Linked DNA regions of Rhinolophus ferrumequinum. The protein of the gene in region 2 purifies or fractionates together with the protein of the main gene of each other region. This does not show direct contact. Links are inferred from orthologs where the notes say so. Each region holds a gene or a part of one and is shown on either strand. Other genes may lie near its edges.

The links. Proteins that work in one complex are often made in the same cells at the same time.
Region 1: the proteins of PSMC3 (region 2) and PAAF1 purify together in Homo sapiens (co-immunoprecipitation; 6 studies listed by BioGRID and IntAct, with this or other methods). This does not show direct contact. The link is inferred for Rhinolophus ferrumequinum from reciprocal best matches to the Homo sapiens genes PSMC3 and PAAF1.

The regions. Positions count from the first base shown.
Region 1 is NC_046294.1:49,005,904-49,013,800, forward strand, and holds the start of PAAF1 (proteasomal ATPase-associated factor 1), read left to right. Parts: upstream 1-4,888; 5' UTR 4,889-4,932; coding exon 4,933-4,979; intron 4,980-6,524; coding exon 6,525-6,565; intron 6,566-7,897. Other genes in the region: cytochrome c oxidase assembly factor 4 homolog, mitochondrial, read right to left, coding at 2,538-2,792. UniProt on the Homo sapiens protein: Inhibits proteasome 26S assembly and proteolytic activity by impairing the association of the 19S regulatory complex with the 20S core.
Region 2 is NC_046294.1:13,797,534-13,805,206, forward strand, and holds the start of PSMC3 (26S proteasome regulatory subunit 6A), read left to right. Parts: upstream 1-4,666; 5' UTR 4,667-4,845; coding exon 4,846-4,920; intron 4,921-5,165; coding exon 5,166-5,249; intron 5,250-5,787; coding exon 5,788-5,913; intron 5,914-6,304; coding exon 6,305-6,409; intron 6,410-6,523; coding exon 6,524-6,586; intron 6,587-6,843; coding exon 6,844-6,981; intron 6,982-7,418; coding exon 7,419-7,562; intron 7,563-7,673.

The DNA.
Region 1 (7,897 bases), about 35 Mb from region 2:
ATGTTAAGTAATTGGCCCCAAATCACCCAGCTAGTAAGTGGCATAGTGGGATTTGAAAGCACCTAACAGGGATTGAGAGCAGACTTTGGAACCAGACAACGTGGGTTAAATGCTCCATAAGTTAGGTAAAGCCTCAATAAATGCTAACAATATTTATTATATATTATCTCATTTAATTCTTTCAATGTACCTATCAAGTAGGAATTATCCCCATGTATTTGAGGAAAGAGGCTTGGGTGGCAACAGAGCACCCTTTGCCCAAATACACTGTTACCCACCCAGTGTTAGCTCCCTGTTAGGGCCGGAGCCCTCCAAAACTTGCTCCCTCCACTTTGCTGGTTTGGAAGCCATTCCTCCTGCTAAGGAGGTCCTTCTACCCATCTTCTCTGCTAGACTCTCCCCACCTCATGGCCTATTATTTCTATCTTAATTATACAAGTTAATATATAGATACGTTCCTGTTGTAAAAGATTTAAAAATGTAAGCAAATATAGTCCTTATTGATGGAATGACGGTCACACTGTGACCATTTATTCACTCTTATACACAATGAACATCATGGTACATTTTATAAAAATATATTTAAGAGGATTCCTAATAAATGCTGTTTAAATATTTAAAATATTTATAGCTCCCACCATATTGCCCTCCAAAAGCTTTACTAAATTATGATCCCTTCAATAGCGTGAATGTGTGTTTCTCTCCATCCCCACCAATACTGGTCATTATAAATACTTCTGATTTTTGTCAAGAGGATCAGCTAATAATACTGTTTTTAAATTTTGCATTTTTCTTATCAGTGATGTGAAATATATTTACATTTTCCTGTTTTGGGGGCATATTTAACTTTGTTCACTTTTCAATTGGGTAGTTTGCTTTTTCTTTCTGATTTCTAGGTACTTTTTGTTCCAGCTGGTAATCCTTCCCGTTATGATAGAAATGGGTATTATCTTTAAAGGTTCAACTCAACTAAATCCCTTCTCTTCTCTGAGATTCTTGCTGAAAGCTCTAATCCACACTACTCCCTCTGATGACCTACAGCACTGAACAGATTCATCTTTATATACCATGTTTCCCAGAAAATAAGACTGGGTCTTATATTCCTTTTTGCTCTAAAAGACACATTAGGGCGTATTTTCAGGGGTTGTCTTATTTTTTTCATGTACAACAATCTACATTTATTCAAATAGCCATGTCATCATCTTCTGGAACATCGTCATAACATACTAAATGCGCCCGTCTGGCTGACCATCTTAACTGGGGCTTATTTTCAGGGTAGGTCTTATTTTCGAGGAAACACAGTATACACCCAGTCATTCCCTTCCACTTGAAAGCTGAAATTGGATTCTATTTTTCTTTCAACTGGTATTCCTCCTATCTTCTCCCCTCTTTTCTCTTTTCTCCCCAAATACCAACACAAAAGTAGTATTAGGGCCTATTATACTTCACATTTGTGCTTCTCACACACACACACACACGAAATATTACTGATGATGAATGTCCCTTTGGATCCCAGTTTCTATGACAGGGGTCATTCCCCCAACTCCCTCGCCACTCCCAATCCTTACAGGGCTAGGCAGAAAGTAATATAATGGGTAATGTGGTTTCATGGAAACAAAATGAGAAATGGTGGCAACTACTGTTAACCAGAGAACACAACCACCTAAAAGAGAAACCTTATTCAGCTCTAGCAAATTGTTGTCAAGTAGGAATTGAAGCTCCATGATGACAACTTCTCTATTTTAAAAGTGGAAAAATCTGTATTTTATGTTAAATGTACTTTTTAAATGTCAAACCAACATTGTGTGTGTGTTGGGTTGGGAGTGTGTAAAGGTCAGACTCTGCATCTATTAATTCGACAGACTCTGGCATAGAAGAGGCAGTTTGTTTATTTTCCCATTTGCTTTCTTCCTTCCATTAGACTGAATGAAACATCCAGGACAACTTGTGAAAGATAAAGTCATTTATATCACTGGGCAGGAATTAGTTCCAATGTTGTTTTATTTCTGTCTCTCAAACTAGACTAAGCAACATGAAGGCAAAGATCACATTATTCATCACATCAGCTTCTAACAGTGCCTAGAACATGAGAAGTTCTCAGAAAAACTTGTTGTTGAACCAAAGACTGAAGAAATGAAGACCTGAATAGATAGCCAATTTACCTTTAGATTGTAAATATACTTGCAAAATTCAATGTCCACGTATCAGCTCAGTACTTGGCACACCGATCCAAGATGGAGGTTAGCAGAGCAACCCTTAACCCCACTGTGTTTTACATGGTGAATATTGGTCAGTATTTCATATTTGTGCAACAAGACGGGTAAGGATGTATAGGATCTCGCCATGAAAATCCGACAGCTCTTGATGGCAGTCCTGTGCAAACCCATGGCTACCTGGCTCTCAACCTCAGTCCCAAAGACCATCCCCAAGTTTTATACCTCTTGGCCCACACTTCCAGTTTAGGATTTCTTCCTCCCATGACCTCGCTGGGTGCTAGTTTCTTCAGGCCATGCTCTGGGGACAGACGGTTTGGGGTGTCAGCTGTGGGCACTGCCTTGCTCCTTCCTCCTCTGCAGCTCCTCCCGCCGTCTCGCCTGCTGTTCACTCATGCAGTCCCTGAAGGCCTGCACCTGTGGCTGGCACTGTCGCCAGTCCTGGTGCGCGGCCATGCACTCCTGCACTGCATAGTGGGACGCTGCACAGCCAGAACGGGAGATGAGCTGGTCCAGGGGGTCCTCTTCCTCACCCTCCTTCTTCACCTGTCGGGCCCAGGTATGGCCTTGAGTTGACATCTTTGGGAGTCTCTAGACATCAATGGAGGCAAGGTTAGAGTAGGGACATGATTATATATGAGGTTCCTCTTATAAGTAACACTGAACACTGCACGGTTATGGCCTATGTATACAAATGTCTCCCTTTGGAGACTGTAAGCTATTTGCAGACAGATAATCGGCCTGATTCAACTTGATGCCCCCAGCACTAGTCCTGGCAGAGAATAGGCCTGCAAAATGATCTGAACGGAATGGAATGAAGCAAAGCATGTGAGAATGCTTAGCACAGCACTAAATAAGCTCGAATGGATTCCTCTAATAGAATTTGAATTGGGTAAAATATCACCTTTCTGGAGAAGCTATTTCTGATTCACCCTCAAAAGAACTAATCTCCCTTCTTCTATTGGCCTTATTCTATGGCTTGAGAAGAACAAAATTTAACACTTGGGAGAGTACCCAAATATGGTAGGGTTTGACATGTGGAATGGAGAGAGTTGTGTGGCTACAGAATACAGCATGCAGCGGCCCCGGCAAGAGACGAGTCTGTGAGGTAAGTAAGAGTACTTCATGTGAAGTGTGTTTGCCCAGACTGTCTTCCCAAGACCATCTACTTCAGAATACCCAGCAGAAGGTAGCATAAAGAAGGAACTTAAGAAAGAGATGAAGAGAAATGGCCTCAGCCTTTGTATAAATTTCACGATGACTGGCTGTAAAGGAGCTAGGATTCCTTAATGCCTTTCCTGTGTCTCTGATTCATTCAGCAAATCATCACTGAGTACTCATCATGTACCAGGCACTATGCTGGAGTTGAGTATACAGGAGTGACCAGGACAGAAACCGTTCCTGCCTTCATAGTTTACAATCTAGGCAAGTAAACAGCCAGTTTACTATACACTGTATACAGAGAGCTCATGCTGGGAACACAGTGGAGGAGTGATACCTAATCCAGACAAGAGAAACAGGCAGGGAAGGCTTCCTGGAGGAAGTGATTTATAAACTGACAGCTGAAGGATGAATAGGAGTTAACTAGAGATGGAAAGGAAGAACAGGGTGGTCAATGAAAGAACAGGGTGGGGGGTTGAAACAATTTGAGAGGACTGGAAAGTTCTGTATGACTGGAAGCATAGAATATGAGGAGAAAACAAAAGAAACGAGAAAGTATCTGATCATAACCAGACGTTGTTAGCCATGTTAACGCACTTAGAGCGCCAAGGGGAAGTCACAAGGATTTAAACACGCTAAAGCCCTACATAAAACTCATTTGCTTTGGAGGCAGTATAACTTGAGGAGGGGGGAAACGGGCTTTGAAAACAGACGGGTTGGAAATCTAGCTTTGTCACTGACATTTTGAGTGACCCTGAGTAAATTACGTCATAATAGTCCTATTACTATACGTTTCCTCTTCCTAAATACACAGTGAGCTCTTTAAAGGCAGGTGGCAAACCTCTTAGAGCAAGCACAGAAAAGTGGCTTGGATCTTAAGCCAAGAAATCCGGGTTCGAATACCAGCACACGCTTTATCTTGCAATCTTTTTTAGTTTGCTCCTTAAGATAATATTTAACTCGCAGAATTACTGTATGAATTAACATAATGATGCCAAATGCATGGGCTACAACAGGACTCAGTAAACGCTGCCGTACGCTTTTCCCCACCACATCCCGGCTTCAGCCTCCCTTGGAGTAAAAAGACCCTTGCTCAGAGATAACGGCAGGTTAGATGGTCGGCACCTGGATCGGGAGCAGGCTTGGACCAGAAAGGCATCGAAAAAACCAGAAAGCAAAGATACCCAAGTGGCCAAATCATCTGAAGCTCCTCTCCCACCTTCAGGAGAGAGCGCATGCGCCCGCGCAGCCACCGGGCGCGCCCACGTAGTGCCCGTTACGTTTCAGAGTGCAAAGAAGCGGCACGCAGTGCTCACCGAACAGGCGGACGGACAAGAAGACCCGAATGTGCGTTCCAGCACGTCCACTTCGCAGGCAGTTGGAACTCTTCCGACCCTCCGGGAAGGAACCAACCTCTCAGGAGCGCGCGCGCGGAAGGGGGAGGGAAGGGAAGGGACCCACCGCGCATTTTCATTGGTGGTCTCTCTTTGTAGCTCCCGCCCCCCGCGCTACTTCCGGGAAAGAGCGGAAGAGGCGGGCTAGTGGAGGAGGGGTCAAGATGGCGGCGCCTTTGAGGATTCAAAGCGACTGGGCTCAAGCCCTCAGGTGAAACCAGTCCCAGAACCCGGACTGAGGAGGCGGGTAGCGGATGTTGCCTTTTCGTTAGGAGAGTCATGCCCGATCCAGGATATCCATAGGGGTTACCTCATCAATTATTGAGGGAGTATTGGGTCTAGAAAACGAAGTCTCAAACCCACATGGTTATTTTTCATTCTCTGAAGAGCTATCCTGAAGCTAGGGAAGCACATCAGAGCTGTGTGATCCCAGCATCAGAACTAGGATTAATGAGTTGTAGAAAGACAGGAAAACTGGGAGGCAGGAGGCCAAGTAGTCAGTCATTTAACAAATATTTATTGGTCGTATTTATTTGCAAAAGTTCCAGTACTCACCACCACCAGTAATTGTCTTTTACTGTGTGATGGAATCTTTGTATCCTTCTCGGTCCCTAATGGTATATTAGTCATATTGGACCATTCTACTAAACAATGTAGCACCTACCATGTCCAGACTCTGACCTAGATAGATGCTCCATGCAGTACAGTGTGTACTCTAAACTTAAGGGGTGGTTCCTGCTCTCAAGTTGACAGCTTCGTTGGGAATACACAGCAAACCATTCATTTATTTAACATATTTATTGATCATATAGTGTGCGTTCACCAGGATGAGTACAGTAGTGCCATGAATGACAATTTTTATTACTAATAAGGATTTTCAAATTGAAACAATGGTGAAGATGAATAAAACATTCCTGTATTTAAGAAACTTACACCTTACTATAAGTGGGCTAAAATAAAGTATACATTACTTACTATAACACAGAATGTGTGAAAAGTAATAAAGGAAAACCACTAACATTTATTGAGGGCTACTAGGTACCTATGGGAGAATGCAGGATCAGAATCTGAGGAAGTAACTTGCTCAAGATCATGCAGCTAATAAGTGATGGAGAGTTGCTGGCAACCTATGTCTTTCTATCTTAAAAGCCTAGTCCTTTTCTGCTATACTCTAAGAGTGTATAGGATGCTGAGATAACGATTTGGATGATTGGGGAAGTGCATTCTAAAACATGAAAAGTCTGAGGTGCTAGAACACAGACATTGTATACTAGTCCCAGCTTTCATTTTCTGCTTCATAGCTAGGCAAGTCATTTCTCTCTGAGCTTCAGTTTTTTTAACCTTTAACCTGAGGATTAATAAAAGATATCTTGTTAAATTGTTGTCAGGATTAATGATGCTATATGCAAAGTGTCTAGCACAGGGTCTGGCTTACAATAATCCCAATAAATATTTATAAACTATTCCCGATTTTTCAAAGCTGTGCAATTACAAATGAATAGTGACTCCCTATTGGTGAAATATTTGCACTTCATTGAACCAACAGATATATGTATTAAACGCTTAATCCACAAATATCTTCAACAACTAAAGTTTGTCTTAGAATAAGACAAACATGACTGGATGAGATATTGGACTTGATCATGTCTAAGTAGTATGGCCAAACTGGAAATTATATGATCTTCTTTCTCCCCTTGTACCAGTGGCATCCTTTTGTGTTGAGTGAGCCTAATTAGGTTTTTGTCTCTCTTCATAGGAAGGATGAAGGGGAGGCCTGGCTGAGCTGTCACCCCCCAGGTAATGTCCTTAAGTCTATATGCATTCCCTTTAGAGTAAAAGGATTTACTACCCCTAGAAGAGAGCTTCCTACTTTCTCCTGGCCCAAACTCCTGGCACAATGCTCATAGTCTTCAAATGTTTTTGACCAGTCTGTGATCAGACATCACCCCATCTCCTCCATTCTAGGGGAAGGTCTTCAGATTGGTTTTCCATTTGGAAGCTATAAACTTATTCATGGAGACGCTGCTGATACAGCTAAAACAGTCTCTTGGCTATATATTATTTTATTCTAAATAGTTGTATAGCTTCAAGTGTGACCTTCCTGATGATTCCTAGATCTATAGCTCTAGCCCTGGTCTCTCTTCAGTTTCAAGCAGAGATCGAACAGTTGTCTGCTAGCTGTTTCTGCTTGGAGCTCTCAGTGTCATCTTGAGTTTATCACATCCAGAACCAAGCTGAGCACTTCTGTTGTCAAACAGGCTTCTTTCTTAATTTTCTCATTTCTAAAGTTACCATCCTTCTAGACATCAGAGTATAAAATCGAATCACCCTACCATATCCAGAGTTTCCACGTCTTAACAATTTTCCCTTGAAATGAAACTCCTGTTATTCCCATTCATTTGTTTGCAGTTAGTGTGGTAACATTAAAAAAAATTCCAAGTTTGTGAGAATGTGTTGTTTTACTGATTATTTTGCATTTCAGATATCTTTGATGTCTTTATATAATATATTCTATTTCTATGAGAAATAGTTTGAAACAGTTTTCTTTTGAGGAAATTGGTGCCGCATGGAAGAGAGGATAGTAACTCGAAGGTTTATAGTCAAGGTTTTGTTTTATTGTTAAGATGGGAATTAATTGGAGAACAAGTAAAATATAGGTTGTAGGTAGAGGAGAGAAGGACTAACAAATACCCATGTCTTAGGGGAGAGAGAAGGAAATTGAATGAAGTCTAAAAGACTAAGATGAAAGAAGGTGAAGGTAAATGCAGATGTAAATAAATGCATAGGCATGGATGTGGAAATTTGTGAGTGTCCTATAGCCTCGGTTTTCTTTGTGATATTGGAGGTAGGGTCAGCTCTTAAGGCAGAGGGCTCTTTGTTTTATTCTTAAAATAGTTTTATTGAAATAAAATGTGTGCTATCTGTGTGCTAGATACTATACATATATTTGTATTTCTCAGAACCCTATGAGGTAGGTACTATTAGGATTCTCATTTAAAAAAAATAACAGCTTTATTGAGATATAATTCACATACCATTACATTTACCTTTTTAAAGTGTACGATTCAGGGGATTTAGTTTATTCACAGAGTTGTGTGTCTATCACCACTATCAATTCCAGAACATTTT
Region 2 (7,673 bases):
TTTTCTCTAATTTGAAGTTTTTCTCAAAATAAAATATGTAATTTAAAAAAAAAAAAAAGAGTAGTAAGGGGACTAGGAGCCTGGGGAAGGGCTGGGGCAGGGAGCGGCGGGCTGCAGCTTTAACAGGTTGTAAGGGTGGGCCTGGATGAGAAGGAGGCATTTGAGTCAAGAATTGAAGGAGGTGAGGAGGTGAACCAAGCAAACGTCCTGGTAAGAGCATTCCAGGAAAAGGGAATAGAGTGCTAGACTGGCGCAGGCTTGGCCTGGTCCCTGAGCAGCAGGAGGCCTGTAGCTGTGGGCGGGGAGGAAGGGAGGTGGAGTCAGGTCCCGGTGCAATTCAAAGGGGAGTGGGAACACCCAGGGCCCTGGGGGCCATTGCAAGGACTCTTGCTCGGAATGAGAAGGCAGCTGCTGCAGGGGTTTGAGTAGAGGAGTGACTTGATCTCACTAGGTTTTAAAAGAATTCCTTTGGTTGCTGTGTTGAAAACAGACTACACCAGACAACTGGCCTGGGTGCTTCAAAAATGTCAATGTCATCAAAGACCAAAAAAGGACGGGGAACTGCGCTAGATTAAAGGAGGCTAAAGGGATATGGCAACTGAATGCTGTGTGATCCTCTACCTGCTACTGAAGTTTTTTTAAGGCTGTAAGGGATGTTTTCAGGATAATTGAAGAAAATTTAATATGGACTCTGTTAGGTATTATTGTATCAACATTCAATTCCTTAGGTATGACAATGAATTAGACTATAATGTATTATAGTTACATATAAGAATGTCTTTATCCTTAGAAGACATAGCTGGAATATTTAGAGGTGAAGTGTCATGATGTCTGTGAGGACGGAAGAGGGGCTACAGGTTAAACCTGACAAGCTCAGGAGACTGAAAATAACCACATAAAATGGCGTGAGCATAAAAAATTTCATAACTAAGTGGGCCATGGTAGGAAGTCATATCTTTAGCCAAAAGCTTCCTTCATAAAGTTAATCTGTGCCATTACGAGGGCCTGTCTATTGTCTTTTTGCACCTAAAATGACGTCCTTGGAATGTTTGTAATCCCTTTTTCTGGACCAGAGCAGGAAAGTACAGAATCCCTCATTATTATTCTTGTCCCTTGATTAACATCTCTATGTGAACTATTAACTGTCCTGTACCCACCTATGTGAAAGAAGTACCTGTCTCTCCAATTGGCTTTTATCCAGTCCCAGAGATTCCGCCCCCTTTGCTTTCTCCCACCCCCTTAATCTATCACCAGTGGATTCCATGTAACCTTCCTCCTTTGGTTCTATGTATAAAGTAAGCTACAAACTGCCATTTCGCGGAGCATTTCTCAAACTGTTGAGATTTTGCTTTCCGGCAATTGTTGTCAGTTTGGCTCAAATAAATTCTTACATGTTTTCTCTTAGGCTGGATGTTTTTTGTCGACATCTGCAACTTATCTTTTTAATTAAAGTATAGTTGGCATGCAATATTATTTTAGTTTCAGGTGTACAACAGTAATTCTACATTGCAACTTATTTTGAAATGGCTCAGAAAAAAACACACACAGAGAAAAAGCAAATGTGCAAAATGTGATCAAATGGTGAATCTAGGTGAAAGGTATACAGGTACTCATTGTCTGTTCTTTTAACTTTTTAATGTATTTAACATTCTTCAAAATAACAGACTTTAGGAAGTACATTAGTCAGGGTTCTCCAGAGGAACAGAACCAATAGAAGACAGATATAGATAGATATACAGGTATAGATATATAGATATAGATGTAGATATAGATAAAGATATAGACATAGATATATAGATATACTGGGGGTACCAAAAAAAAGTATACAAGTGGACACTTTGGTCAACGTTGCTCAAGCAATAGTTCGCCATAATCAGAAGTGTCTGGACGCTGATCGTAACCACTTAGAGTACCTCTTGTAATTGCAGAAGTCAAACATGACTTGTATTCATCTTTTGTTATCAGTATATATTGATTATTATAATGTTAGTAGTTTTCCTTTCTTAAAATGTGCATATATATATTTTTGGCACCCTCTGTAGATATAGATACATAGATATACAGATATGTAGATATAGATATGTGAAAAAACTTACTATAAGGAATTGGCAGGTGGCAGGTCCAAAGATTTGCAGTGTGAATCAACCAGCTGGAAACCCAGGAATAGTGATGGTTTAGTTCCAGTTTGAGTCAGAAAGCCTGATGTCCAGGAGGATGTAGTTCCAGTCTGAAAGTTGGCAGGCTCAAGAACTAAGAAGAGCTGATGTTTCAGTTTGACGCCGAAGACAGGAAAAGACCAAGATCCCAGCTCGAGGCAGTCAGGCAGGAGGAATTCCCTCTTACTTGGGGGAGGGTCAGCCCTTTTCTTCTATTCATCCCTTCAACTGATTGGACGAGGCCCACCCACATTAGAGAGGGCAATCTGCTTTACTCAATGTACCAATTTAAATGTTAATCTCATCTAAAAACACCCAGAATAATGATTGACCAATTATCTGGGCACCCCATGGCCCAGTCAAATTGACATATAAAATTAACTATCACAGGAATGTTAGGGCAGAAGCAGGCCAACTAACGAAGAGGCCCCTGCAATAATCTGGGTGAGACATGATGCTTGTTTGAATCGGAGTGATAGGCCATGGAGGTAATGAGAAGTGTCAATTGCAATAGGAGATAGAGAATTCAGTATAGAACTGAACTCAATTCCCAATACAGCAAAGACAGTTGGGGATTTATAGCCAACAAGCACAGTGAGGGTTCAGTGGATAGAAAATTACTAAGCGGAGATATCACAGTAGGAGGATTCTTGCTAAGTTTGCCTAACAGGATTTTTGTTAAAGGCAGGCCAAGGATTTATATATCAAAGGTGAGAGATGAGGAACTTGATCAGGGGGTCTTGATAACCTGACTTAGCAGGATTCTTGCTAAAACTGGGTGAGGCAGGCTGAGGACAGGACCCAAGGACAGGGCCCAAGGTCAAGACTAGTGGAAAAGAGGGCTCAGAGGAGCCTGTCTAAAGTTTGGCCTGCCACCACCTATCACAGGCCCAGACTGGAGGCTTTCTAAACATATTCCTATCTGCTGGGATCTCCAAATGTAGGCCCCAGAGCAGGATGCACCTGCCTCAGGTGTGCTGAGACCAGCACAGACAGGACAGCTCCCTCCCCAACTGGGCTTCTTGATTCCTGTCAGGCAACTCTGAAAAGTGTGAATTTGGAGTTGGCAGCGCCAGTGCTGACACTGACTCACTGAACAACCTTGGGCAAGTCACTTAACCTCTCTGATCCTCCACGTCCTCATCTAATAACATTGACAATGATAATTCAGTCTGTCCACAGGCCAGGGCGGTTGAGAGGATGGAATACATACTATTATCTGTGAGGGTGCTTTGTCAGCCTAAGCAAGCAGCTGCAAATGAAATGCCTTCAACTGCATTCCAAGAAAAACAGTGGATAGATTTTCACCACGTTTAGGGTCTATCGATGTTGGTTTGACTTAAAATATGTTACATGGCTTACAAGAAGTTCATTTTAGGAGTGCCCTGGGCCTCACCTCAGAGGGTTAAGTAGAGATCCTCTAGAAACAGGGGACACAAGTGCAGCAAATGAGTCTCATAAGATCCAAAGAGATCTCTGCTACTCAGTGAGATGAAAAGAAATGATTACAGATGTGGGGGTAAAGTTGATACATTCATTCTTTTTTTAACCTCAATTACTTTTTATTTATTTTATTGGGGAAGGGGAACAGGACTTTATTGGGGAACAGTGTGTACTTCCAGGCCTGTTTTCCAAGTCAAGTTGTTGTCCTTTCAATCTTAGTTGTGGAGGGTGCAGCTCAGCTCCAGGTACAGCTGCCATTGCTAGTTGCAGGGGGCACAGCCCACCATCCCTTAAGGGAGTCGAGGAATCGAACTGGCAACCTTGTGGTTGAGAGCCCGTGCTCTAACCACCTGAGCCATCCGGGAGGCAGCTCAGCTCAAGGTGCCGTGTTCAATCTTAGTTGCTTGAGGAATTGAACTGGCGACCTTGTGGTTGAGAGCCCACTGGCCTATGTGGGAATCGAACCGGCAGCCTTCGGAGTTAGGAGCATGGAGCTCTAACCGCCTGAGCCACCGGGCCGGCCCCATAATGTTTTTAATTGTAGAGGCTGATTGCCAATTGAGCTCTCTTCCCACAGGGAAGTTCTGTGGCACCTGCTCGGAAGTTAGTGGCAGCAGTGATCTCTCTCTTTAAAACTAACTAGTTAATGATGCTCTCAGGTAACCCGGTTGTATTTTAATAAGGTGACCAGGTTGTATTTTAATAAATAATAATTATAAAAATGCAGTCTAAGGTGTCATGCCCCCCCCCTTTTTTTTTTGCCTTTTGCACACGGCTGGCATATGTTGTTTATGGTTTGGGAGGCAGAGCGAATCCCCTAATTACTAACTGGGCCAGACTCTGAGATTGAATCACCCGTTCAAAAGCACCCTTTCAGTTACGAGCACGACGAGGACTACATTTCCCAAGGGCCCTTGCGACTCCGGTCCCTTCCCCGTCCCTTCCGGTTATATATCCAGGTCCCGCCCACTGCTGGCGCCGGCCAATAACACACCCACTCCTAGCGCCGGGCGAAAACAGGACGAGGGCGGGAACCTTTCAGTAGCCGCGGGGGCGGGTCCTGTGGCCCGCGCTTCATCTTTTGAATCGGAGAAGCAGATTCGCTATGGCAACGCGCCGCTAAATTGGTCAAGAGTCAGGACCTGAAGAAAGAGGTCTGCCACTAGTCAACAGGTGGTGTTAAGAAAGACAATATTAATTTCCCGCCACTCCTCCCAGTCCGATCTTCGGCCTTTTCCTCCAGGAAATGAATCTGCTGCCGAAAGTTGAGAGTAGCGTGACTCGGCAGGAGAAGATGGCGACCGTGTGGGATGAGGCTGAGGTGGGCGCTGGGAGAGCTGGGGGTCCTGGAGTCGTGGCCAGTGGGGAGACGCATTTGGCAGGAAGGGAGGAGGTGCCTGGGGACCAAGATCTGGCCCGATCCCAGAGTAGGGCCCCTTGGGATGTGGGCAAGGGTCCCGATTGCTTCATTCTAGTTTTATGGGCGGGGAAACTGAGGCTGTAAGTGAGCTTGGAGAAAGCGGGATACCTGCCCTGAGTTTTAAAAAGTTTTTTTTTTCTTAACAGCAAGATGGAATCGGGGAGGAGGTGCTCAAGATGTCCACAGAAGAGATTATCCAGCGCACACGGCTGCTGGACAGTGAAATCAAGGTGGGCGTACAAGGCAGGCCTTGCTTATCCCAGACGCGGTTTCCTCCTTGAACCAGGAAATTGAAAAGAAAACTAAGCCTTAAGAGAGATCAGAAGAGGGACAGGCTATTGGGAGACCAGGCCTATGTGAGCAGGAATCATCAGACTGCCTTTCTCAACTAGGTCTTACAAGTATTCCTCTCGGAAATCTTTTTAGGAAATCCTCATTTTATAGATGAGGAAACTGAGGCTCAGAGAGGTTTTTATTGTGAAGTACCCAGTCCTTAATGAAAGGCAGAGCCTAAAACCTGTACTTGTTTGACTCAAAGTCCTGCTTTTTTCCCTCTACTACAATTACTTCATCAGGAGGTCTCCAGACTGGCCTCCTGTTTTGACCTCTGCGGACGTGGGTGTAGTCAGGCTCAGCATTCACAAAGCCTAAGAGCTGAGTGAGCAGATGCGGGAGGGTCCCCTGGGCAGCCTGGACCTCACCAATTACAAGGCCCTGGGATAAACAAAGCCAAAGCTGAACATTGGCTTCCACTCACCTTCATCTCAGATTATGAAGAGCGAAGTGTTACGAGTAACCCACGAGCTTCAAGCTATGAAGGACAAGATCAAAGAGAACAGTGAGAAAATCAAAGTGAACAAGACCCTGCCATACCTTGTCTCCAACGTCATCGAGGTGTGTGTGTATGTGGAGGGGAAGAGAGGGGTCAGTGGGGCTTGGAGATAGCCGGCGATGGGGCCATTGGGGGAAGAGTGGTCGAAGTTTTGAGGCCCAAATTGCATGTTGGGCCACCCCTTCTAGGGCCCAGAAAGGCCTCAGAAACCTCACTCGTCTTCTTTTCTACTGGTTATTCTTCCTCGGGGCAGAGAAGCAACACCTAACCAGAGATGTTCTCAGTCCCCTGGTTGATCAGCTGCACTTGCTGGGCTCAGGGCTAGTCTGAGGAGTGAGGTAGGGATGGCCAGCCCTGCAGGTGTTGGGACTCTCTCAGCCCAGGAAGCACCTGGCTCTGGGGAGTTCAGTGGGCTGAGCAGGGCCTGTTGATCTGAGCTTTATCCCTTTCCAGCTTTTGGATGTTGATCCTAATGACCAAGAGGAGGATGGTGCCAATATTGACTTGGACTCACAGAGGAAGGGCAAATGTGCAGTGATCAAAACCTCTACACGGCAGGTGAGGCTGACTCAACAATAGGAGAACTGAGGAGGGTGAGGCATGGGTGGGGAAAGGACTGGGGAACCTTACTGAGGGCAGTAACTGAGACTGCTTCTGGAATCTTTCCTACAGACATACTTCCTGCCTGTGATTGGGTTGGTGGATGCTGAAAAGTTGAAGCCGGGAGATTTGGTGGTGAGTGGTGTCCCCGAGCCGAAGCAGAGCTTTTCTAATGAGGTTTCTCCCACTGAACCCCTCACCCAGGCCCAGGTTACTATTGGTCCTGAATCTTGGCAGAGCAGCCTGGAGAGTGAGATCCTGTCTATCTGCTCTTTGAATCTTGTGTTGCCCAGTCCCATATCATTCTTTTCACTCTATAAACACCTGTTACCCAGCCTATTAATTAGGCCTTGAGCTAGGACAAATCTGAAGGCTTTGTGTTTTGCCCCCAGGGTGTGAACAAAGACTCCTATTTGATCCTGGAGACCCTGCCTACAGAGTACGACTCACGGGTGAAGGCCATGGAGGTGGACGAGAGACCCACAGAACAATACAGTGACATTGGGGGCCTGGACAAGCAGATTCAGGAGGTGAGGGAGGCGTGGCAGCCACCACCAGTCTCGCCAGCTTTTTGTGTTTTTCTGTTTCATTGATCAGAGCACTTCCCTCTAATATGCCTCTTATCCTCATAGTCCCCCTAGGGAGGCAAGAAGGATGCTGTGAAACAGTTTAGGAGACTAAGATCAGAGAGACTGAAGGACGTGCCTGGGGTCGTAGAAGGTTAGGGCCAGAGCCAGGACTGGAACTCAATGTTCAGTGTCTTTCCACCATATCCTGTTGTTGCTGGAAAGACCTTAGTCGGCCTTGGTGGGAGTGAACATTCTGCATTCTCTTGATATGGGGGAAGGAGAGGCAGTATCCCTGAGCAGGAACAGGAGGGTTGCAGATTGGGGTTGAAGCCATTAAATGTTGGGCTGTAGGAGCCCTTAGGGCTTCACTCTCCTCACCCAGGACTTCTTCCTGGCAGCTGGTGGAGGCCATTGTTCTGCCAATGAACCACAAGGAGAAGTTTGAGAACCTGGGGATCCAACCTCCAAAGGGAGTACTGATGTATGGGCCCCCAGGTACGGGGAAGACCCTGCTGGCCCGGGCCTGCGCTGCACAGACCAAGGTGAGTGCTTTGGGAAAGATGAGGGGGAAGTGGGCAGGAGCTGAGCAGTACGGGCTCCAAGGGACCTCTCGTGCTCTGGCCTGACTCTCAGTCCCCATCCTCCCCCCACCC